Linked DNA regions of Drosophila melanogaster. Each later gene encodes a partner of the first gene's protein in a complex. Each region holds a gene or a part of one and is shown in the gene's direction. Other genes may lie near its edges. The genes, in order: IntS11, IntS9 and IntS4.

The links.
Region 2: the proteins of IntS11 (region 1) and IntS9 are in contact, whole or in part, in a cryo-EM structure (PDB 7SN8), measured with the Drosophila melanogaster proteins. Residues at the interface, in NP_651721.1 of Drosophila melanogaster: His94 (codon at 3,463), Lys97 (codon at 3,472), Ala98 (codon at 3,475), Pro135 (codon at 3,586), Thr137 (codon at 3,592), His139 (codon at 3,598), Gln140 (codon at 3,601), Ser141 (codon at 3,604), Glu149 (codon at 3,628), Lys151 (codon at 3,634), Lys274 (codon at 4,003), Thr277 (codon at 4,012), Tyr278 (codon at 4,015), Lys280 (codon at 4,021), Met281 (codon at 4,024), Phe282 (codon at 4,027), Ile283 (codon at 4,030), Thr284 (codon at 4,033), Trp285 (codon at 4,036), Phe294 (codon at 4,063), Val295 (codon at 4,066), His296 (codon at 4,069), Val450 (codon at 4,586), Lys451 (codon at 4,589), Ile452 (codon at 4,592), Pro453 (codon at 4,595), Val454 (codon at 4,598), Asp455 (codon at 4,601), Ala456 (codon at 4,604), Ser457 (codon at 4,607); in NP_648838.3 of Drosophila melanogaster: Glu128 (codon at 2,466), Tyr198 (codon at 2,676), Asp199 (codon at 2,679), Glu200 (codon at 2,682), Lys201 (codon at 2,685), His230 (codon at 2,772), Asp333 (codon at 3,081), Ser334 (codon at 3,084), Ala337 (codon at 3,093), Tyr338 (codon at 3,096), Asn340 (codon at 3,102), Ile341 (codon at 3,105), Glu344 (codon at 3,114), Gln351 (codon at 3,135), Val354 (codon at 3,144), Tyr355 (codon at 3,147), Leu356 (codon at 3,150), Pro357 (codon at 3,153), Asp358 (codon at 3,156), Asp359 (codon at 3,159), Pro360 (codon at 3,162), Arg509, Lys510, Leu511, Asp512, Arg513, Ile514, Tyr515, Ile516, Ser518.
Region 3: the proteins of IntS11 (region 1) and IntS4 are in contact, whole or in part, in a cryo-EM structure (PDB 7SN8), measured with the Drosophila melanogaster proteins. Residues at the interface, in NP_651721.1 of Drosophila melanogaster: Thr182 (codon at 3,727), Pro183 (codon at 3,730), Arg185 (codon at 3,736), Gly188 (codon at 3,745), Ala189 (codon at 3,748), Trp191 (codon at 3,754), Ile192 (codon at 3,757), Asp193 (codon at 3,760), Lys194 (codon at 3,763), Arg196 (codon at 3,769), Ile210 (codon at 3,811), Arg211 (codon at 3,814), Asp212 (codon at 3,817), Ser213 (codon at 3,820), Lys214 (codon at 3,823), Arg215 (codon at 3,826), Arg258 (codon at 3,955), Asn287 (codon at 4,042), Gln288 (codon at 4,045), Lys289 (codon at 4,048), Lys292 (codon at 4,057), Thr293 (codon at 4,060), Met299 (codon at 4,078), Gln400 (codon at 4,436), Asn404 (codon at 4,448), Asn469 (codon at 4,643), Ala470 (codon at 4,646), Pro472 (codon at 4,652), Pro473 (codon at 4,655), Pro475 (codon at 4,661); in NP_572488.1 of Drosophila melanogaster: Arg226 (codon at 4,749), Ser227 (codon at 4,752), Gly228 (codon at 4,755), Gln233 (codon at 4,770), Lys256 (codon at 4,839), Phe259 (codon at 4,848), Tyr260 (codon at 4,851), Asp262 (codon at 4,857), Ser263 (codon at 4,860), Gln264 (codon at 4,863), Lys299 (codon at 4,968), Asp300 (codon at 4,971), Asp301 (codon at 4,974), Cys349 (codon at 5,118), Leu351 (codon at 5,124), Lys380 (codon at 5,211), Lys381 (codon at 5,214), Ile437 (codon at 5,382), Glu441 (codon at 5,394), Glu443 (codon at 5,400), Phe444 (codon at 5,403), Leu445 (codon at 5,406), Glu446 (codon at 5,409), Arg448 (codon at 5,415), Asp471 (codon at 5,484), Phe472 (codon at 5,487), Asp475 (codon at 5,496), Asn478 (codon at 5,505), Glu480 (codon at 5,511), Ile481 (codon at 5,514).

The regions. Positions count from the first base shown.
Region 1 is NT_033777.3:29,742,366-29,749,432, forward strand, and holds IntS11 (integrator 11), read left to right. Parts: upstream 1-2,971; 5' UTR 2,972-3,104; coding exon 3,105-3,318; exon of another isoform or gene 3,319-3,397; coding exon 3,398-4,372; intron 4,373-4,427; coding exon 4,428-5,032; 3' UTR 5,033-5,148; downstream 5,149-7,067. Other genes in the region: Wdr24 (WD repeat domain 24), read right to left, coding at 1-238, 302-487, 554-1,012, 1,070-1,225, 1,286-1,370, 1,424-1,756, 1,819-2,458, 2,517-2,634; ATPsyngamma (ATP synthase, gamma subunit), read right to left, coding at 5,489-6,382. UniProt on the Drosophila melanogaster protein: RNA endonuclease component of the integrator complex, a multiprotein complex that terminates RNA polymerase II (Pol II) transcription in the promoter-proximal region of genes.
Region 2 is NT_037436.4:16,100,831-16,107,586, reverse strand, and holds IntS9 (integrator 9), read left to right. Parts: upstream 1-1,959; 5' UTR 1,960-2,023; coding exon 2,024-2,032; intron 2,033-2,093; coding exon 2,094-3,251; intron 3,252-3,308; coding exon 3,309-4,106; 3' UTR 4,107-4,153; downstream 4,154-6,756. Other genes in the region: Zn72D (Zinc-finger protein at 72D), read left to right, coding at 58-633; CG43295 (uncharacterized protein), read right to left, coding at 1,159-1,611, 1,685-1,735; IleRS-m (Isoleucyl-tRNA synthetase, mitochondrial), read right to left, coding at 4,154-4,801, 4,857-5,193, 5,277-6,470, 6,523-6,727. UniProt on the Drosophila melanogaster protein: Component of the integrator complex, a multiprotein complex that terminates RNA polymerase II (Pol II) transcription in the promoter-proximal region of genes.
Region 3 is NC_004354.4:8,555,705-8,562,771, reverse strand, and holds the start of IntS4 (integrator 4), read left to right. Parts: upstream 1-3,990; 5' UTR 3,991-4,073; coding exon 4,074-6,176; intron 6,177-6,253; coding exon 6,254-7,067. Other genes in the region: CG12112 (uncharacterized protein), read left to right, coding at 2,749-2,851, 2,914-3,119, 3,193-3,346, 3,409-3,551. UniProt on the Drosophila melanogaster protein: Component of the integrator complex, a multiprotein complex that terminates RNA polymerase II (Pol II) transcription in the promoter-proximal region of genes.

The DNA.
Region 1 (7,067 bases):
GGACGATCAGACCGCAGACGCAGCACTTGGCGGACTGCATGGACTTGCACTTGTCGCAGTACCATCCCACCTTGCCGCCCATTGGACGTCCACACTCTCCACAGTTCGTGTGCATGGCGGTCGAGTGCTGGTTGAGCTGCTGCACCGATCTCAGCCAGGAGCGGTTGATAACCTCGCAGGCCTCGTTCCACAGCTCATAGCGATGCAGCTGGTCCACGTAGGTGTAAAACCAGTGCTCCTGAAAAGGAAGAAAACCGGATGAATAACTCCGTTCTGATCCCAACTTTGTCTTTGAACTCACCACCAATGCATCGTCAATGGGCAGGAGCTTCCGAGCTTCTCCCAGCGCTATAAGGACTGTCAGAGCTGTTTGCACATCGCCCACATCGTTCATTAGCATGAGGGCATCGGAGACGAACTTATGCGGTTCCCACATGGGTATGGGCGGGACATGGCTGACTTTTAGGACAGTGGGAACATGCGGTGGCTAAAAAGAGGATGAATAAGTTAGTTAAGCTGTAAATACATCGAGTTCTCAATAATCTCAACTAACAGGTGACTTTTCGTGATCGGACGCCTTGAGATCCAGTTGTGGTCGTGCAGCCTGCACATCGTGATGAAGGGCGGGGAAGGCCAAAGCTTTCGGGCATTCTGTGGGACCCACGTAGATAAACCCATTGCGCAAGAGCTCAAAGTTGTCAAAGGTAATCTCGCTGATGATTTGCGTTTCGGACAGAATCACTGAGCTCGTAGGCGGATGCTCCACACCACTGCTGCCGAGCGTATCATCGTCCACATTCGCCACATCAATTTCGTGGGCTGTTTCCGGCGTGTTTCCATTGAGATCCTGGCCTAGTTCAGTTCGCTGCTGTGGCCAATCGCTGGCTACTTGCGTGGCACGTCGTGAGTTCATTGGATTCTTTTGATTCGAGAAGGAGGAGCGGTGCTCGAAGGGAGGCTCAAAGTGATTGCTGCCGTAGAACAATTTGATAAAGTTCCACAATGTGGTGGCCTGAAAAATGTAGATGCTAAGTTTTGGCAAATTTTGGGAATAATCTCAAGCGCTTACATTATGTTTGCCGTATTTCTTGGAAACCTCTGCATTGTGCTCGCATAACTCCGATAGTTTTTTCCCACTGATAACAAGTTCCCTGGCACAGCCAATAAAACTTTCGTGTTCTTGGGTGGGTCTTGAAACAGATTCGCTTAGGGGATAGCCGGAAAACTGAAATATATCAATTAGTATCAGATTTGGCAAAGAAATCCCTAATAGTGTCATACTAACCGTGTCGTTTACCATGAATTTGTACATTTTGGAATGGTCCAAATGGAACTGAATGCTGCCAGCCACATTCGTCTTACGGCGACTTCTAAAATACACATACATATAAACATACAAGTTGATACAACAAATACGACATACATGAAGCTAGAAGACTTGGTATTGGATGCACCGCTGGTCTTGGGTTCATACTCCTTGATCTTGTTGGCAAAGGAGATGTCCCCAAATCTGCCCAGGCTAGCTCCCTGGGCATTTGCCTTCAGCGCTGGCCTCGTGGCATCCTTAAAAGCATGTTTGTAAATGGTGGAGTCCTTGCTGATGGACAGAAGACAGTGCGAGTCGCTGCCCTGCCACGCAATTCCAGTAGTCACATTGGTGTGCTCGTTGAAGGAGGCAAAGGGGATGTAGGGTCTGCGGATGTCCCACACATGAACGCTGTAGTCCACCACAAGGGCACAACTAGCGATGTGATAACTGGAAAGGATTAAACAGATTTAATATAAATAAGACTGTTAAACCTGGCTAGAAAAACCTACGTTCTTTCTGGTCGCCACTTAACCCGTCCCACTACGGCGATTGTGTGAATGGTGTGCTCCAATCCCGGCCTGCCATCCATGTTCCACACCTTGATCTGCTTGTCCCGACTTCCGGTGGCCAGCCAATTCCTTGTGGGATGCCAGTCGCATGTGTAGACTGGCCCGTAGTGCGCCGTAAACTGCACCATGCACTTGTCCCACTTCCGCATGTCCCACAACTGGACAGTTCCATTCTCGGAGACGGCGGAGAATATGTTTTGTGTGTGTGGACTGAACTTGACATCCCGCACTGATTCCGAGTTGCAGAAGTAGGTGTTGATTGACTTATCCGATCGGATGTCGAAACACTTGATGGTGCCATCCTGAGAACCGGAGATCAGGATGTTGGGCTCGCTGCTGTGAAAGGTCACGGTATGAGCGGTGCGCTCATGTTCGTTGTAGACAAGCAGCTGCTTCTGCCTGCCGAACTTGGAGAGATCCCACACGGAAACCACTCCGTTCGTGGCCGCCGTAGCCAAAAGATTGCTATCCAAGGTGGACCAGGCCACATCGTTGGCGGAGTAGCTAAGATTCTGGTTCTTTCCGCGCATATTACACGATTCCGTGAAGCCATTGCTGTTTATGGAGTACACCTTAAGCACTGTTCGGAAGCAAATTATGTGTATTTATAGAAAGACCTTGGGCAATTCTAATCTTACAGCTTCTTCCGGCCAAAGCAATCTGGTTGTTGTCCTTATTCAGGGCCAGGGCGTTCGCGTGTCCTTCCAGGCATATCCGCAGCGAGATTGTGGAGGTGTCCTCCACGGAATCGGGCATCCTGCAGCAGTTGCAAGTTCGCCCGCAGAAAGCAAAACAGTGATTTGATAAGACAAGACGCTATCTTTTATTTTCCTTTCGGTTCAGTATGACCGTTTCTCGAGCGGCAAACCATTGGCGCGAGTGTTCCCAAATGCAGATGTTGAATATTGTTTGAACAAAAGACTTATTGTACTAAAGTTGTATTATTCACATATAATTAATGTATTCTATACATATACAGACAGAAACATTAATTTCAATTAAGCTATTAAATTCTTTGAAACTTCTTGGAACACTCCAATAAGATCTGCCAGTTGGAGCGCGTCGTTGCCGGACCATCCACACCGACGGAGTGGCAACGCCATTCGTGCGGCCTTGCTGTTTACAAAAATCACGGTCGACTTTTTCGACAATTTCATTTACCAGCGCAACAAGTGGCCGCAAGAAAGCAGGAGAGTGGAGCCGGGTGATCCTGATCCCTTCCAGAAATGCCGGACATCAAGATAACGCCCTTGGGCGCCGGCCAGGATGTGGGCCGCAGCTGTCTGCTGCTCTCGATGGGCGGGAAGAACATAATGCTCGACTGCGGGATGCATATGGGCTACAACGACGAGCGCCGCTTCCCGGACTTCTCCTACATAGTGCCGGAGGGTCCGATCACCAGCCACATTGACTGTGTGATCATCTCGCACTTCCACCTGGGTGAGTCTCGGCCTCCCAAAGGCGCTCTTATCTGGTCAACTGGCTCTAATCGTTTCTTTATCGATTGCATGCATTCCAGATCACTGCGGGGCCTTGCCCTACATGTCAGAGATTGTGGGCTACACGGGGCCCATCTACATGACGCATCCGACCAAGGCCATAGCACCCATCCTCCTGGAGGACATGCGGAAGGTGGCCGTAGAGCGGAAAGGCGAGTCGAACTTCTTTACCACCCAGATGATCAAGGACTGCATGAAGAAGGTGATTCCCGTCACACTTCACCAGAGTATGATGGTGGACACGGACCTTGAGATCAAAGCCTACTATGCAGGCCATGTCCTGGGCGCCGCCATGTTCTGGATCAAGGTGGGCTCCCAGAGCGTTGTCTACACGGGGGACTACAACATGACTCCAGACAGGCATCTGGGAGCCGCCTGGATAGACAAGTGCCGGCCGGACTTGCTGATCTCCGAGAGCACCTACGCCACTACCATTAGGGACTCGAAGCGGTGTCGCGAGAGGGACTTCCTCAAGAAAGTTCACGAGTGCGTGGCTAAGGGCGGCAAGGTTTTAATCCCTGTTTTTGCCCTGGGTCGCGCCCAGGAGCTGTGCATCCTGCTGGAGACGTACTGGGAGCGCATGAACCTCAAGTACCCCATATACTTTGCTCTGGGTCTTACCGAGAAGGCCAATACCTACTACAAAATGTTCATCACCTGGACGAACCAGAAGATCCGCAAGACCTTCGTTCACCGCAACATGTTCGACTTCAAGCACATCAAGCCCTTTGACAAGGCCTACATCGACAATCCTGGCGCGATGGTAGTGTTCGCCACGCCAGGCATGCTGCACGCAGGTCTTTCCCTGCAGATCTTCAAGAAGTGGGCGCCGAATGAGAACAACATGGTGATTATGCCCGGCTACTGTGTGCAGGGAACCGTGGGCAACAAGATTCTCGGTGGCGCCAAGAAGGTGGAGTTCGAGAACCGCCAGGTGGTCGAGGTCAAAATGGCCGTGGAGTACATGAGCTTCTCGGCCCATGCAGATGCCAAAGGTGGCTACAAGCTTAGCACTTTTATGCTGATACTAATTAATTTTCTGTATTGCAGGCATTATGCAGCTAATTCAGAACTGTGAGCCAAAGAACGTCATGCTCGTCCATGGTGAAGCAGGGAAGATGAAGTTCCTGCGCTCGAAGATCAAAGACGAATTCAACCTGGAAACCTACATGCCGGCCAACGGCGAAACCTGTGTGATTTCTACGCCTGTGAAGATACCAGTAGATGCGTCCGTTTCCCTGCTTAAAGCAGAGGCCCGGTCCTACAACGCCCAGCCACCGGATCCCAAGAGGCGGCGACTAATCCATGGCGTCCTCGTAATGAAGGACAATCGAATAATGCTGCAAAACCTAACCGATGCCCTGAAGGAAATCGGAATTAATCGACATGTTATGCGATTTACATCCAAGGTCAAAATGGACGACTCCGGACCGGTCATTCGCACAAGCGAAAGACTGAAGACTCTGCTCGAAGAAAAGCTAGCCGGCTGGACGGTGACGATGCAGGAGAACGGCTCCATAGCCATCGAATCCGTTGAGGTGAAGGTGGAGGAGGACGAGAAGGATCCCAAGCAGAAGAACATTTTGATATCGTGGACCAACCAGGACGAGGACATTGGAGCCTACATACTGAATGTGCTGCAGAATATGTGCTAGGCAACGAAGAAGCATCCCATTGAAATCCCACGCCTTAATTCCATAGATAAGCACAAAGTGTAGATACCACCAATTTCTGAAAGTTTAAAGAGTATCAAAATATACATAAACGTTCCAATAGTTTTTTGGTCATTAGTCATTGCCACTTGAAATTTGAGACTTTATGCACATTAAGTTATATCAATGGGTCTTTGCATAAGAATGCAATCGAATCCCATGATATCAATGTGTAAAAACCAAACAGACCTGTGCAAGTGCTTTCAAATTCCTTGCCTCCCACTCCAATTAGGTAAGGACTCCATGGTTAAAGTTATTTTCGTTCGTTCCACGCTATTTATTCTGGGGTTTTTCTGAAAGAGTAACATTACTAGGGCTCCAGGCGTAGCTCCAGGTGCCTGGCACCATATGCAATTAGCTGTATGAATCGTTAGAGCTGTTCGAACACATTCCATTCGCTTATGTGAGGGCGGCGGCACCGGAGATGATTTCAATCAGCTCGCGAGTGATGACCGCCTGTCGGGTACGGTTGAAGGTGAGGGTCAGCTTGTCGATCATCTCACCGGCGTTCTTGGAAGCGTTGTCCATGGCAGTCATACGGGAGGACTGCTCCGAGCAGGCGCCCTCCTTCATGGTGTAGAAGATGAGCGAGGCCAGCGAGAACTCCAGATAGCTCTTGACCACGTCGCTGTCGAGCGAGTCGTAGACGGCCAGCTTCTCCGACTTCTCCACGGTGGATCCGCTGAAGATGGGGAGGGTGGAGCACTGGTAGGACACCACCGACTTGAAACGGTTGTACACGATCTTGCCCTCGGTGTAATCGTAACCGGTCTGCAGAACCTCGTTGGCAATCTTCGAGGCGTCCAGGAAAGTGGGGGGCAGTCGGCCCACCTCGTTGGCCACCATCAGGATGTTCTTGCCGTACAGACGGGACAGAATCGCGCGCGACTTGTCGCCCACGCAGAACACCTTAGTGTTGGCCTCGTCCTGGGCCAGTTCGCCGCGAATGAGACGGGCCACACCAGTGTGGACGGCACCGCAAAGACCACGGTCCGAAGTCACTGCGATGAGCAGCTTCTTGGGCTCCGCCTTCTCGTCCGGCTGGATCTCCGTCTTCTCGAAGAACTGCTGGGCGCCGATGCCGTAAGGACGAGCCGCCTTCAAGTCTCGCTCGGCACGAGCGTACTTGGCAGCGGACACCATCTTCATCGATTGCGTAATTTTCTGAATGTTCTTCACCGACTTCAGGCGGATGGAAATCATCTTCAGGGTGGCCATGCCACGCTGCTGCTGGGCCAGCATGGTGGCCTCCATGGCCAGGGGCAGCAGGAGCTGGGTGCGTTGCATCATCATCCTGTGAGTTGTCGAAGATTCCCTGTCGCGAAAATTAGCTCGATTCACTCGGCAAAAATTGAGAAAATTCACCTACCTTGCGTTAAGTTGGCTGCGCCACAACGAGTGTTATAACACCGAGCAGAGTTGCCACCCAGTTCGGGTTAACGCGGTGGCGATTCGTGGTGAACGGTAAAATATTATATTAAATAATTTATTTTAATTATGGAAATTTCGGATAATGGATTTGTGCTACATATAACTATTAATATTGGATAAAATACAAAACTTCTTTGGAAAGCTTCAGAATGCACAATAAAGCTTGAAATTAATTTGAATTTATGTAACTCATAATTATGACAATAGAGTTAAAAACAGAATAATAATTGATAAGGATTAAGAGGTTTGCCAAAGATGCCAGCTTGTTTTCTACCCTCGACCAGAGTTTTCCTTCTCCTTGCCAGCTCTGTTTTGGAATCAGCTGCTCACGCACGAGCCACGAAGTTCCGTCACTAACGCCTCACGCAAAAAAAAGCTGACGTACTCGGGAAAAAGATTAGGATAATTCGACGGAGACGAGCGCCCGATCCGATCTACTGACTCCCCCGACCCGCAGCAGAGCCACATAGACACGATCGCCCTGTCCAGGACACCCGGGATCCCAGGGATGAGACCTCTGGGGACGAAAAACAGCGGATAAGTTAGC
Region 2 (6,756 bases), on another chromosome or scaffold:
GCCAAAAAGCAACTAGAAAAATCACAAACTAATTATGAATGAATATGAATTTATTAGGCTTTGGCTGATTTGCGTCACGCCAAATGGTTCCAGGCTCGAGCGACAGGCCTCCAGTCGTGCGTCATGGTCATACGCATCCTCAGGGATCTGTGCCAGCGCGTCTCTTCCTGGCAATCGCTGCCCCAATGGTCTTTGGAGCTCCTCGTAGAGAAGGTCATCTCGTCGGCTGGCTTTCCCATTTCGCCCGGTGACTGCATGCGTCGCATCATGGAGGCCTTATCGTCAGGCTTTCTAATCAACGGACCGGGCCTGCTGGATCCTTGCGAGAAGGACCCCACAGACGCTCTACTCGAGTTGACCAAACAGGAGCGCGAGGATCTCACTGTGTCCGCACAGCTCTTCCTGCGCTACATTGCCTTTCGACAGATTTACAAAGTGCTTGGCATGGAGCCATTGCCGGCGATGAAGTTTCCAATGCGTCCATGGCGTGTCAACCGCAAGCGACGTAGGTCATCGGGCAAGGCAGGTGGTGCACCCGGCACGGAGACCGAGTCCAATGACATCGATGAGACCGGCTCCGATGAGAAGGTGGCCAAGAAGGAGGGTGTCGGAGGCACTCCTGCCAGCACCTAAGCGGCGAGAATAGGTTATATACACGTAGTCGGCTACTAATATTACAATTTCTCTCAAGATAAAAGCGCGACCAGGCGTCACTTAACTATAACCAACTCTAATCTATACACGAGTATTCAAACCGATTGGGGCACAAGGAGCTAAGCATGTCCAACATGTTGCCCAATCGGCGATTAGTGAATCCCAAATTACCCCAACTTTAACTAACAATATTTAGTGGATCATAAAACTTGTATTTTTCTAGCATTAGTGCAAGGCAAGGCAATGTATTCAGTTTGAATGTGAACATTATGGCCCTCACACTCATATACACAAATACTAGAACGAAGCGGATTTTAATAAAACGTATTGAACAATTATAATTAAATTATTTTTTTAATAAAGATAAGCTTAATTCATTCACGTAACTGGAAATCTTAATTGGAGATAATCTAGCACTGATAATATTCTTCGCTTTATAAATAAGTTCTAATTGAAATTAATTCAAATATATATTTATATATATGATATATAATTTTTAAGGAATTACAAGAAGTCGTTCCACTTAGAGCAAATTTTCTTAGTAACTGTTGGCATATTTTCAGCGGAACGTTTAGAGGATCGTGGCCCTGTGTTCCTGGTTTTCTTAAAGTTCATAGAGATTTCGTCGGAAAGTTCATCGGTTTTCGTAGGTTTTGCTGCAGGCTTTTGAGTAGTTTCAATGGTATTATCCACATAGTTTGCCCATTTATTTGTTTTCTTCTGAGGTGTGGTGTTTTCCTCTTTTTCTTGGCAGTCTTTCTCCTCTTCGAGCTGTTGCTTTGCCGTGAGGAATAAGCCCGTGTTCAGACATTCCTCCTGCATTCCGCGCTCTAAGTTGAGATGCTGCACCTTAACCCGGCATTCCGCTGCCGATCCTCGAAAGAATTCCTTGAGCAAACTTTGCTTTTGGCGGCAAATTTTACACTGCCATGTGCTTGCCTTTTTCACGAAGTCCACCTTGTTTAAATTAGGTATATATATATAAGTAGTTATTGAGTTCTAAGATATATTTCAGTTTGTTTGCACTCACCTGGTACATTTTGCATTGAATGCATTGTACCACGCGAATTTGCTGGGACATTATTCAAATTTGCGAAAAACCAAATAAAGAGACCAGGGATGGAAACCAACAGCACTGCAACAAGTGGAGTGAAAAAAATGTGGTTGCACAAATGTTAAAGCGTGATGACTACAGTTTAACAAGTAGTAAAACATTTACCAAAATTTGTAATTAACTAATTTTGGTACCTATGGTTAATGATTTAGCCGGGTGCTGATTCCGGTTCATAAGTGAACCAAATCGTTCCCCATCCCTGGTCCAAATATAAACAAACTTGCATCGTCTAATCGGCACTGTCGGTTTAATAAAATGCGATTGGTAAGTCATCCTGAGAAGTAAATAACAACTTAATTAGCGGAAGTGACTATCCACTTTGCAGTATTGTCTCAGCGGGGACCTGGCCAAGCCATGTTATATCATTACCTTCAAGGGCCTGCGGATTATGCTGGACTGCGGTCTCACGGAGCAGACAGTCCTGAATTTCCTTCCGCTGCCCTTCGTTCAGTCACTGAAGTGGTCCAATCTGCCCAACTTCGTGCCCAGTCGGGATCATGATCCCCAAATGGATGGCGAGTTGAAGGACTGCTGTGGCCGGGTTTTCGTGGACTCGACGCCCGAGTTTAATCTACCCATGGACAAAATGCTGGATTTCAGCGAAGTGGATGTGATACTTATCTCGAATTATCTTAATATGCTGGCCTTGCCGTATATCACGGAAAACACGGGGTTCAAGGGCAAAGTCTATGCCACGGAGCCAACGCTGCAGATCGGCCGATTTTTCCTGGAGGAGCTGGTGGACTATATCGAAGTGTCGCCCAAGGCGTGCACCGCGCGCTTGTGGAAGGAGAAGCTTCATCTGCTGCCCAGTCCCTTGAGCGAAGCCTTTCGCGCCAAGAAGTGGCGCACTATCTTTAGTCTTAAGGATGTCCAAGGCAGTCTGTCCAAGGTGACCATCATGGGCTACGACGAGAAGCTGGACATCCTCGGAGCTTTTATCGCCACTCCTGTCAGCTCGGGCTACTGCCTGGGCTCGAGCAACTGGGTACTGAGCACGGCGCATGAAAAGATTTGCTATGTCAGTGGTTCCTCCACGTTGACCACACATCCGCGGCCCATCAATCAGTCGGCGCTGAAGCACGCCGATGTACTCATTATGACCGGACTGACGCAGGCGCCGACGGTAAATCCGGACACGAAGCTGGGCGAGCTCTGCATGAATGTGGCCTTGACGATCCGCAACAATGGGTCTGCCTTGATTCCCTGTTATCCTTCGGGCGTTGTCTATGACCTCTTTGAGTGCCTCACCCAGAATTTGGAAAACGCTGGCCTAAACAATGTTCCCATGTTCTTTATTTCCCCTGTGGCAGACAGCTCCTTGGCGTATTCTAATATCCTGGCCGAGTGGCTTAGTTCCGCCAAGCAGAACAAAGTGTATCTTCCAGACGATCCTTTCCCACATGCCTTTTACCTTCGCAACAACAAGCTGAAGCACTATAACCATGTGTTCTCCGAGGGCTTTAGCAAGGACTTCCGGCAGGTTTGTCTAACATAATTGTGAAAACTTCATACTACAAATTCTCTGTCTTCCTTACAGCCCTGCGTGGTCTTTTGTGGCCATCCTAGCTTGCGTTTCGGCGACGCTGTTCACTTTATCGAGATGTGGGGCAATAACCCTAACAACTCCATCATATTCACGGAGCCGGACTTTCCGTATCTGCAAGTACTGGCGCCCTTCCAACCACTGGCCATGAAGGCTTTTTACTGTCCCATCGACACCTCTTTGAATTATCAGCAGGCAAATAAGCTGATCAAGGAGTTGAAACCAAATGTGCTTGTCATCCCAGAGGCATACACAAAACCACATCCCTCGGCCCCAAATTTGTTCATTGAACAGCCGGATAAGAAGATAATAACGTTCAAGTGCGGCGAGATCATACGTCTGCCATTAAAACGGAAGCTGGATCGAATTTACATTACCTCGGAACTGGCCCAAAAGATATCGCCAAAGGAGGTGGCGGCCGGCGTGACCTTCTCCACATTGACAGGAGTTTTGCAAGTTAAGGACAAGGTCCACTGCATCCAGCCATGTGCGGATAGCGTTAAAGACGAGACCATCTCGAGCAACAGCGCTCCGACAAAGGAGGATGTGCTGAAGAACGTCAAATACGAGTATGGCAGCATTGATGTAGATGCAGTGATGAAGAAGCTGGCACAGGATGGCTTCTCCAACATCAAGCTAGACCGCACTGGCGGCGCTCTGACTCTGAACCTTGTCAATGAGGACACAGTCATTAAGTTCGAGGACAACGAGACGCATATTATCTGCGGCGGAAAGCCAACAACCCGGCTCAAGCTGCGAGACACCATCATGAAATGCTTACAGAGTTTTTAAAAACATAAATGTATTCCTTACACCTAAATAACAACACATCATTACGCTTAGTTCTTTGCCTCCATAACGTCAGAGCAACGTTGACACGTTTTCTGCTCATCCTCCAGACCATAGCGACGACAACGTGGGCACAGTGATATCTGAAGTTTACTTAAAGCAATATCCAAGTCGCTATTATGGGACTGTAAGAGCGTAACTGACCCCACTTGCAATATCTCGCATAATTCAGAATTGCTCACAGACTCTCCAAGAGGGCTGTGAAGTTCTCGCAGCAAATCCAGCTGGCTTCTTTCCTTTCCTTTGATGGTCACGGCCAAGTGCCAGGTGTTAACATCTCCAGCCTGTTGGTTAATAAGTCGTTTAACATCGAACGCTGCATTAATCACTTCAGTGGCTTTGGTGTCCTGCCATTCAGGATTAGTCTGAACAATTTGCTCGTGGAATGCACCACCTGTGGTGTCATAGTAGCTCCAGCTTTCCTCCACCAGGAAGGGAACAATGGGCCATAAGCTCTTGCAGAGTTGTTGATAGCAGTGGGTAAGAGTTTGACGAATGGCCAGTAGCTCGTGATCATCACCACAATAAAGACGATCCTTGATGAGATGCACATAGACGGCGGACACCTGATTTGCAATGAAGTTTTGGACACAGGCGACAACACGATTGTACTCATAAGCTTGGTATAGCTTCTCCACCTTAAAAGCGATTGACATGATTAGTTGAAAAACTAAGATTAACAAAATTTCCTACCTCAGATTCAAATTCAACCAGCTGGCTTAACAAATAACGATTAAGATAGCTCTTATCCGAAGTTCGTATAAGCTTCTCCCCCGATTGTTTCTCTCCAATTACGCCTTTTAAATATCGCATAGTTCCGCGGATCTTGCATAGATTTTCTGCCGCTTGCTGCAGTAGCTTATCGCTCACTGTAATGGACATGTGCTGCGTTCCATGGGAGGCAACCCACCAACGCAGTGCATCCGTACCATATTTCTTGGTTATCTGCTTTGGGGAAATTACATTTCCCAAAGATTTCGACATCTTGTATCCTTTCTCATCCACGGTAAATCCGTGAACGAAGAGGGCCCTATTGGATATTAATATTGAATAGGTTTTTCATTAAAAAGTATTACACTAGAATAGAGTCTTTGGTATTACGTATCTACTCACTTGTACGGTGCACATTCCCGAGCAGCAATGCTCATAAGCAGTGATGATTGAAACCAACCGGTGAATTGGTCATAACCCTCAAGATACAGATCGGCTATCTTATCCTTGCCCAGCACAGCGGACCATGTGCTACCAGAGTCGAACCAAATGTCCAGTATGTCAGTGCCCTTGACAAGATCTTTGGCTTCATGGTGAAGTTCACGAAGTAAATGCTCGGGTACCAGTTCCTCCACGGATTTTACCCACCAGAAGTCGATTGATCCCTCCTTGCGGAGCAGATTGCAAAGATGTTCAATAAGAGCGGAATTAAGTACCACTTTTCCGGACTCCCGACTGTAGAGAACAGGAATGGGTACGCCCCACGCTCGCTGCCTGGAGATGCACCAATATGGTCTCTTCTGGAGTTGTGTGAGCAATGCCTTCTTGCTGGCCTCAGCATTGGCTCTAGGATAGATCTCCACTTGTTCCAAGGCATCTGCAGCAGGCGTCTTTAGCTTTTCGGTATTAATGAACCACTGCTCACTGGCACGAATTATCACAGGCTTTTTTGTGCGCCAATCAATAGGATAGGAATGTTCCAGCTTTGAGGAGTGGACTACATCCTCTGCTATGCGGTCGAGGACTAGGGAATTTCCCTGATCCAACACTGATTTTCCGCGTAGAAAATCAGGAGCTTCCTTGGTGTAAGTGCCCTCCTCATTCACAAAACACTTTACAGGAATTTTCTGGGTCAGACTAACAAGGAAATCTTCTGGTCCATGGGCAGGAGCTGTGTGCACCAGGCCCGTACCTTTGCTATCCTGCACATGACTGGCGTCGAAAAAGGGCAGATTCGATTGTTCTTTATCAATTGGATGATTATAGCTCAGCTTGCTCAATAATTCTCCACTCAAGTGCTGCACTATCTCACACTTTAGCTGAGTATTGGCCTCAAAGTCCGCCATAAGAGCTGAAGCCATGAGGTATAGCTCATCCTGGTTGCGATCCGACAACCTGACTATAACGTATTCCAACGAGGCATTGTAACAGATGGCTTGGTTACTCGGCAAGGTCCACGGAGTTGTGGTCCAGACTAGGGCATAAATTTGCTTATCCTTTACATCAAAGCTACTTGGATTAAGAGCAAATCTCACATACACCGAAGGACTTATGTGATTAGCATCATATTCCAGTTCCGCCTCGGCCAGGGCTGTCCTAAAAAATATAAGATAGTGTTAAGTATCAATTTAAGTTGTATTCAACTCACCTGGATGAAGGTGACCAGTAAACTGGCTTCAAGTCGCGATAGACCAGTCCTTTCTCGTACAGATTGTAGAACATTTCCAATTGATTGACTATAAACTCTGGCTGGAAGGTCATGTAGATATTGTCCTTCTGCCAGTTGGCCAAAATGCCCCAGCTGCTGAACTCCTCTTTTTGCGATTTAATGGCCTCCCAAGCAAAGGCACGAGCTTTAGGAAATAATAAAGAATTAGCAAAG
Region 3 (7,067 bases), on another chromosome or scaffold:
AATCTACAGCAGTTGTATTTCGAGGCTTTAACCAGTTTGGGACTCATTGTTTATAATAATCCTAAGTCAACTTCAAGTAATTTGATAAATCAAATAAATACTGATATCAAAATACTGTTATTGATGTACAGGTTTTAGGTTAACTCGGGGAGATAAATAAACAAAGGAATGGGGTTGAGATTGAAGGAAAGGAAACAATAGTAACAGTAGTTGTTGGTGCTGCTCTTGTTATTTTTGCTCTTTAAAAGGGGTTTGCATGCATTTTACACAAAATGGAAAGCGTAAATGGCAAACTATTACAAATTATGCGCTCTTTTTCTACAAATAGAAATGCCCCGCTCTCTCACACATCCCCTCCCTCCCACCACTTTCAAGCGAGCGCTCTTATTCACTCCTTTTTGCAAACCAATTGCAGCTGAAGCGTTTAAAGGCGCCAGTCGAAAATTGTTTTTCAGAGCGCGAAAAATCACACATACACACACGCGCTAGAAAAAAAAAAAACAAAAATGGGCCACAACAAAAAGGTTTTTCACATACGAAAAGCAAATCAAAATGCAATAAAAACAACAAGCAATTCGAAAAAAAAAAACAGAAGGAAAAACAGCTCACGAGACTCCGAGACCCGCAAATAAATGACTTCCCAAGTGATATTATATCTCGCACCAATACACTGATAGCTACTCTAGTTTTGTGCAGCGTGCGTGTGACTCTGTTGGGTGTGTGCGTTTGTGTGTGAGTGTGCAAGGGCGTACAGGTGGCCGTAGTATGGGGGTGGGAGTGGGAGCGGGACAGCACACATGCACATGTACCGAAAGGCGGCTTCGATTATGCAAAAAAAATATAATACAATAAGAAAAAAGGGAGAAGAAAGATGGGCAGAGAAACCGCTAAATGCGCACACACCTACACCTAATGCATATTTTACCCGATACGATTTTCATTTGCTGGCTGAATTTTCGGTAAAAAAAAACTTAGTTGCATTTGACAGAGGAAAACTCCCGTACACCCACACACATTTACAGCAGGCCATCGCGCACATGTACTTGTACATTTTAGGCAAATTAACACTTTCTTAATGTTCGCCAGTGTTGGCTAACGACCCAAGGAGAGCAAGTGAGAGAGCGGGGCGAAGTGATATTGAAGAAAGGCAGAAAGAGAGAGCGATTTATTGTTTTAACCGGCAAAAAACATACAGAGGCTGAAATTAGTCGGAGTAATTAATTGCAGTGGATATCGATAGACGGGCCTCGGTGTTGCCACCTGGCTTCGAAGGGCTCTCTCTCTTTACAGCACTGTCCGGGGCAAATGTAAACATTTAATTTATGCAACCGCTGCAGTAATTAAGCGAAAATCAATTAAGCAGACTACTCCAAACGCACGCCCGCTCTCATCCTCGTATTCTATCACACGCACACACATGCGTATCGAACTGCTCTTCACATGATTTCTCGCGTAATTCAGTTGGAATTTTTCACACACAATTCGTTTCTTCTTTTTTTTTAGCCGTTTTACCTTGACAAGTTTTGGTTCTCGTTGCGATTGCGTTGTATTTCAAGTTTATCACACATACATATACTCACACCTACACACGCAGCAAAACGTGAACAAAATACACATGTTGGTTATAAAAAATAAGCCAAGTTATATTATGCCAGTTGTATTATTGTGCAGCACAAAACCCGCCCAAAAATTAATGGAAAATTACAGTTGTTGTCGGTCGGCGTCGCTGCTGCTTCTTCCGTTCTTTCTTACTGTCTCACTCTCCCTTCTCACATATCCTTATAAGCACTAACAATTTCTGCTTCTCGCTCACTTTCGTTGCGCTGCCGATGGAGCTCTCTCTTTCACTCCTTGCTGCCTCTATGCCTTTTATGCACTCCCCACACACCCGCACACAGAGTGACATTTGAAGCACATACAGACGCACACGACTGGTTCTTTCGAGAATCGAACATTACCGAATTTATCAAATTGCGCTTCGCAATTGTGCATTTCCTGTGCAGATCGCAGGCCTCAATCGCGGCACGATTGTTTTTCGCCCTTTAGCAACGTTCCCTGTCAATTTCTGTGGATTTATATTGCAATTTGCGTGCGAACACGCGACCGTTTCGCGATAGAGCTGGTTCACGAATCGATTGATGAGCGATGTTATCGATAGACCTGATAAGCGAGAGGTGGATGTGCTCGCTAGATTCGCCAAGGTTGATGACTCCGCTAAGTGAATGGTCCTATTACAAAATATCGATGACATCCAAATTGCTTGTTAAATATAGTTTCAAATTTAACTGTAACATAAAAAAAATGTATTAAATCAATTTTAAAAAAACCCAACTTAGCATTTGTTATTTGGGGAAAGTCCATGCTATTCCCACCTACTCAACTGACAGGACGCATCACCAACTAAATTCGTTAAAAACATTGTGATTATTATAAACAATTAGTATTATTTATCCTGTGGCTTATGCGATTGGTTGTCATGCGATATTCTGGCTTTCACCATGTTCTCTGTACTACTGTACAGTTCCGCCGCTAATCAGACGTCGTCATCACTGATTCACCAGTTACTCATATGTGATGAGCAAGAGGGAGTTTTTGCCCGTGCCCTTACTTTCCCATTCGTCGCCTAGCGAAGGCAATGATGAAACAGCGAGGAATTCCATTTGGAGCTTAACTGTGTAGCGAAGCGAATCGCTTCCATTAGGGACTTTCCTCAATTCATAAACTAAATATACATATGTATTCACTTTAATGCTAAAAATTAACGAAGCAATGCCTGAAATCAAGAGACTTTGCCTCGCCACCGAGAATAGTCATATCGCAGCCAATGCCATGCTGCTAACAAAGATAGATGGTATGTTTGTGACATACATATCTTATAACACCGGATCATATTACATTACCTAACCCACTTAGAACTCAATTCCCAAGTCCTGTCGCAGCGCGCAGAAATCGAAAACTTGACGAGGGCGGTTAAGACACTTACGGAATTCGTTAAGCAGTCGATGAAAACGACCAAGCCGAAGGCGAAGGGAAATCCGGACGATGATTTTCCAATTATGTATGAGGAGGATCTGGTCGAAGTGAATCACAAGATAAGCCAGGACTCCAGGGGGATCTATGTAAGTTTCTCCTTCCTCATGCTTTTCCATCAATAGAATATTATATAGTTGTACTTATATGATCCCTGATCAGACGAATTCCATGCGGAAATTCCTGCGCCAGGGAAGATTAAGCCGCACCATAAGACTCATTTTCTCCGAGGACATCCTTCTGAACTACAATATTGATGGGAATCAGAAAAAGAAAAGACTAAAAGATCACGAACATCTGTTTCGTTCGCTTATGAGTAAGTTTAGTGCTCGACATCCAACTTTTAGTGATCCATTCAATAATTATCCCCAACTACAGACGCCATCGGTCAGGTGGAACCGACGCTACCCTCGGAAAAAGTCTTATTCAAAGCCATGAGATGCGTTAAGAATTGCGCAGCCAAAAAGAAGGGCAAGGTAGATGATGACCCCTTGTCCGTTTTGAGCGTGGAGAAATCATAACTGTGCCCATGTGAGATGACATAGTAGAAACAAGGATTTAAATATAAGTAATGATTTACGGGCGAATCAATCCGAATTGAGGATGAATACCCAAATAGTGGTTGATGGATCATCATCACTTTGTTGAGAAGTTATCACTTCATGGAGAAGAGCGAGAGCAAAACAAAAGACGAAAAGAAAACATCGATTTTTCACTATACTATCGATGTTTCACGCCTTCAAAGTGAAATGTCCAAAAAATATGCCTCGTTTTCTTTATATGATTACTAAATGACACATTTTTTTAAAATAATATAATTATTAAATGCCTGGTGATATTAGCATTATCACTCTTGTGAAAGCAATTTATTTAGTTATGGGTTATCCACCAGCAAGAACCTCTTGCGCGGTCACGATGCCATCGCTAGTGGCGGGTGGTTGGCATCAGTGGTGTGCCATCTCTAATTTGCGGTTTACCTAAACCAGGTGGAAGAGTGCAACTCTAGTCTGCATTGGTTGAATCGCGCAAAGGAAAAGGAAACCATGGCGCTGGCCATTAAGAAGCGCGTAGGCACCTACGTGGAAACGGTGGACGGGTCGCCGCCGGTGAAGAAGCTGCGTCTGCAAACGCTGGCCGCTGATGCCAAGGGCGGGAAATCCGGAAAAGTGGGCAATGTGGAGCGCAAGCTGACGGCGCTCAACCAATTGGACGCCTATGTGGGCAACCTGCCCGCCGGTGCGTTGGTCCTGCCCACTGGGACACCAGTTGCTTCGACGGGAGCCCCGTCAACAGGTGTCATCGGAAATCCGCCGGCTGCGGCGACTGGAGCTCCCCCAATGACGGCCGCGAATAGCAGGGAACTGCTGGAGCTCTTGGTCAAGATAACCGATGAGATATCCTATGAGGACGTGGAAATGGGCGAGCTTAAGGAGGTGGCCAGCAAGATCTTCCAACTGTATCAGCTGCAGGAACGCGATAGCGACACCTCCATCCGGGTGAAGCTGCTCGAGCTGCTGTCCGGATTGGGTTGCGAGTGTGCCACCGAGCAGGCGCTTACCATGATCATCGACTACTTTATCTTCTTGTTGAGGAAGGAGGTGTCCCAAAAGGTGCTCGCCCAGGGCATGATGTGCCTGTTTCGAATCGGGGAGCGCAGGAAGCACATGTTGCCCATATCGTACAAAACCCAGGTGGCCCACCTAGCCAAGGAGCAGCTGCGCTCCGGTTCGGCGCATACGCAGAAGAACGCCATGCTGGTAATCGGTCGTTTTGCCACCAAAATGGAGGGTGAGCGTCATTACGTATGGAAGTTAGCCTTCTACATCGACTCGCAGGACTCGAGCGTTCGTGCCCAGGCTCTGCACGCCCTGCTGACCCTCGGCGAACGGGGATCCCAACTGCCGGCGGTGCTCTATAAGCGTGCCGTCGAGGCCATGAAGGATGACTACGAGTGTGTGCGCAAGGAAGCTCTACAGCTGGTCTTCATGCTGGGCAATCGGCATCCGGACTACATTTTACCCTCGGACCGCCAGCAGGAGGAGCTGCGCATGATAGACGCTGCGTTCAGCAAGGTCTGCGAAGCCCTGTGCGATCTATCGCTGCAAATTCGCGTGCTCGCAGCGGAATTGCTCGGTGGGATGACCGCCGTAAGCAGGGAGTTCCTACACCAGACACTCGACAAAAAGCTGATGAGCAATCTGCGCCGGAAGCGAACGGCGCACGAGAGAGGTGCTCGCCTGGTGGCCAGCGGTGAGTGGTCATCGGGTAAACGGTGGGCGGACGATGCGCCGCAAGAGCACCTCGATGCTCAGAGCATCTCAATTATAGCCAGCGGCGCCTGTGGCGCCCTTATACATGGCCTAGAGGATGAGTTCCTCGAGGTGCGTACTGCGGCAGTGGCCTCCATGTGCAAGCTGGCCCTCTCTCGACCGGATTTCGCGGTGACCAGCCTAGATTTCCTTGTGGACATGTTCAACGATGAGATCGAGGATGTGCGGCTGAAGGCCATCTATAGTTTAACGGCCATTGCCAAGCACATAGTGCTGCGCGAGGATCAGCTGGAGATAATGCTTGGATCGCTTGAGGATTACTCCGTGGACGTGCGTGAGGGACTACATCTCATGCTGGGCGCCTGTAGAGTGTCCACACAAACGTGCCTGCTAATGGTGGTGCAGAAGCTGCTAGATGTGCTGGCCAAGTATCCACAGGATCGTAACTCCACCTATGCCTGCATGCGCAAGATTGGCCAGAAGCATCCACATTTGGTGATGGCTGTCGCCGTTCACCTGCTTTACGTGCATCCCTTTTTCGAGACGCCCGAACGCGATGTCGAGGATCCAGCGTATCTGTGCGTTCTGATACTTGTCTTCAATGCTGCAGAACATTTGGTGCCCATTATCAGTTTGCTGCCCACGGCCACCCATCGCCATTACGCCTATCTGAGAGACTCGATGCCGAATCTGGTGCCCCAGTTGCCCATTGAGGGTGCGTCCTCGGCGAGTGCGACGCACAGGATCGATTCGGCTATGCACCAAGCGGGCAGTTCGGCGGAGTACCTGCAGATGATTCTCAGTCACATCGAAGAGATCTTCACCATGACTGACGAGCGCTTGGAGCTGCTCCAGACTGCCCAATCTAATCTGCAGGTTTGTATGCCCGCTGGGCTTACTACAATATAAATGAACACTAATGTTTACTATGTTTTTTTTTTAATAAACTTTAGCGCCTGGGATCCATTGATGCGGGCATGTACGGCACCTCAAACTTTCTAGAGACCTTCTTGGCGGCCCAGATCCAGATCGAACAGATGCAGCGTTGCGCCAGCACGCAACGAAGCAGGGTGCCCTTGAAGGAATCACTGGCAGCACTCATCCGAAACTGTCTCAAGCTGCAGCACACTTTCTCCGGCCTCAATTACGGCGATATCTTGCAGGTGAAGCAGCTGCGCCTGAGGGCTTGCGCGCTTCACTTGGTCCTCGTGGTCAGGGATCGCTCACAGAGTGCATTGGGCCCGTGCCAGATGCTTTTGCAAACCGCCGGCGATATAAGTGAGTTCATCAAGGCGAATACGAAGGATGAGGAGGAGAAGCCACCGGTGGTAGAGACCGATATGCCCATGAAAGAGTCGGTCAGTAGGGATGCCCAGCCGGATAGCTTCACCCGCCAGCTGCTAATCAAACTGGATGGCATATCGGATCCCAAGCCGGGTCGCGTCTTTCGCGAAATTCTGCCGCTGGTCCAGCAGGCTCCTCCGCTTGCATTGCCACCCGCCAATGACAAAATACGCCGCTGTGTGGCCAACATCCTTGAGCCGTGTCCGCTGCAATCGCAGGATAATGTAATTAAGGTCACGGCTGGCCTGATAGCAGCCGTTCCTTTTGTTGCGGAAATCGACAATCTGCTGGAGTCCCAGAAGGCGGACATGCGGATCAAGATCAAGTATCCGGACCAGCACATGCACACCGTGGTGCCGAAGCAGAGTGACTTCAAGCCCATTATGACGGAGCAGGGCGAGCACAAGACCAATGTGCGCCTGC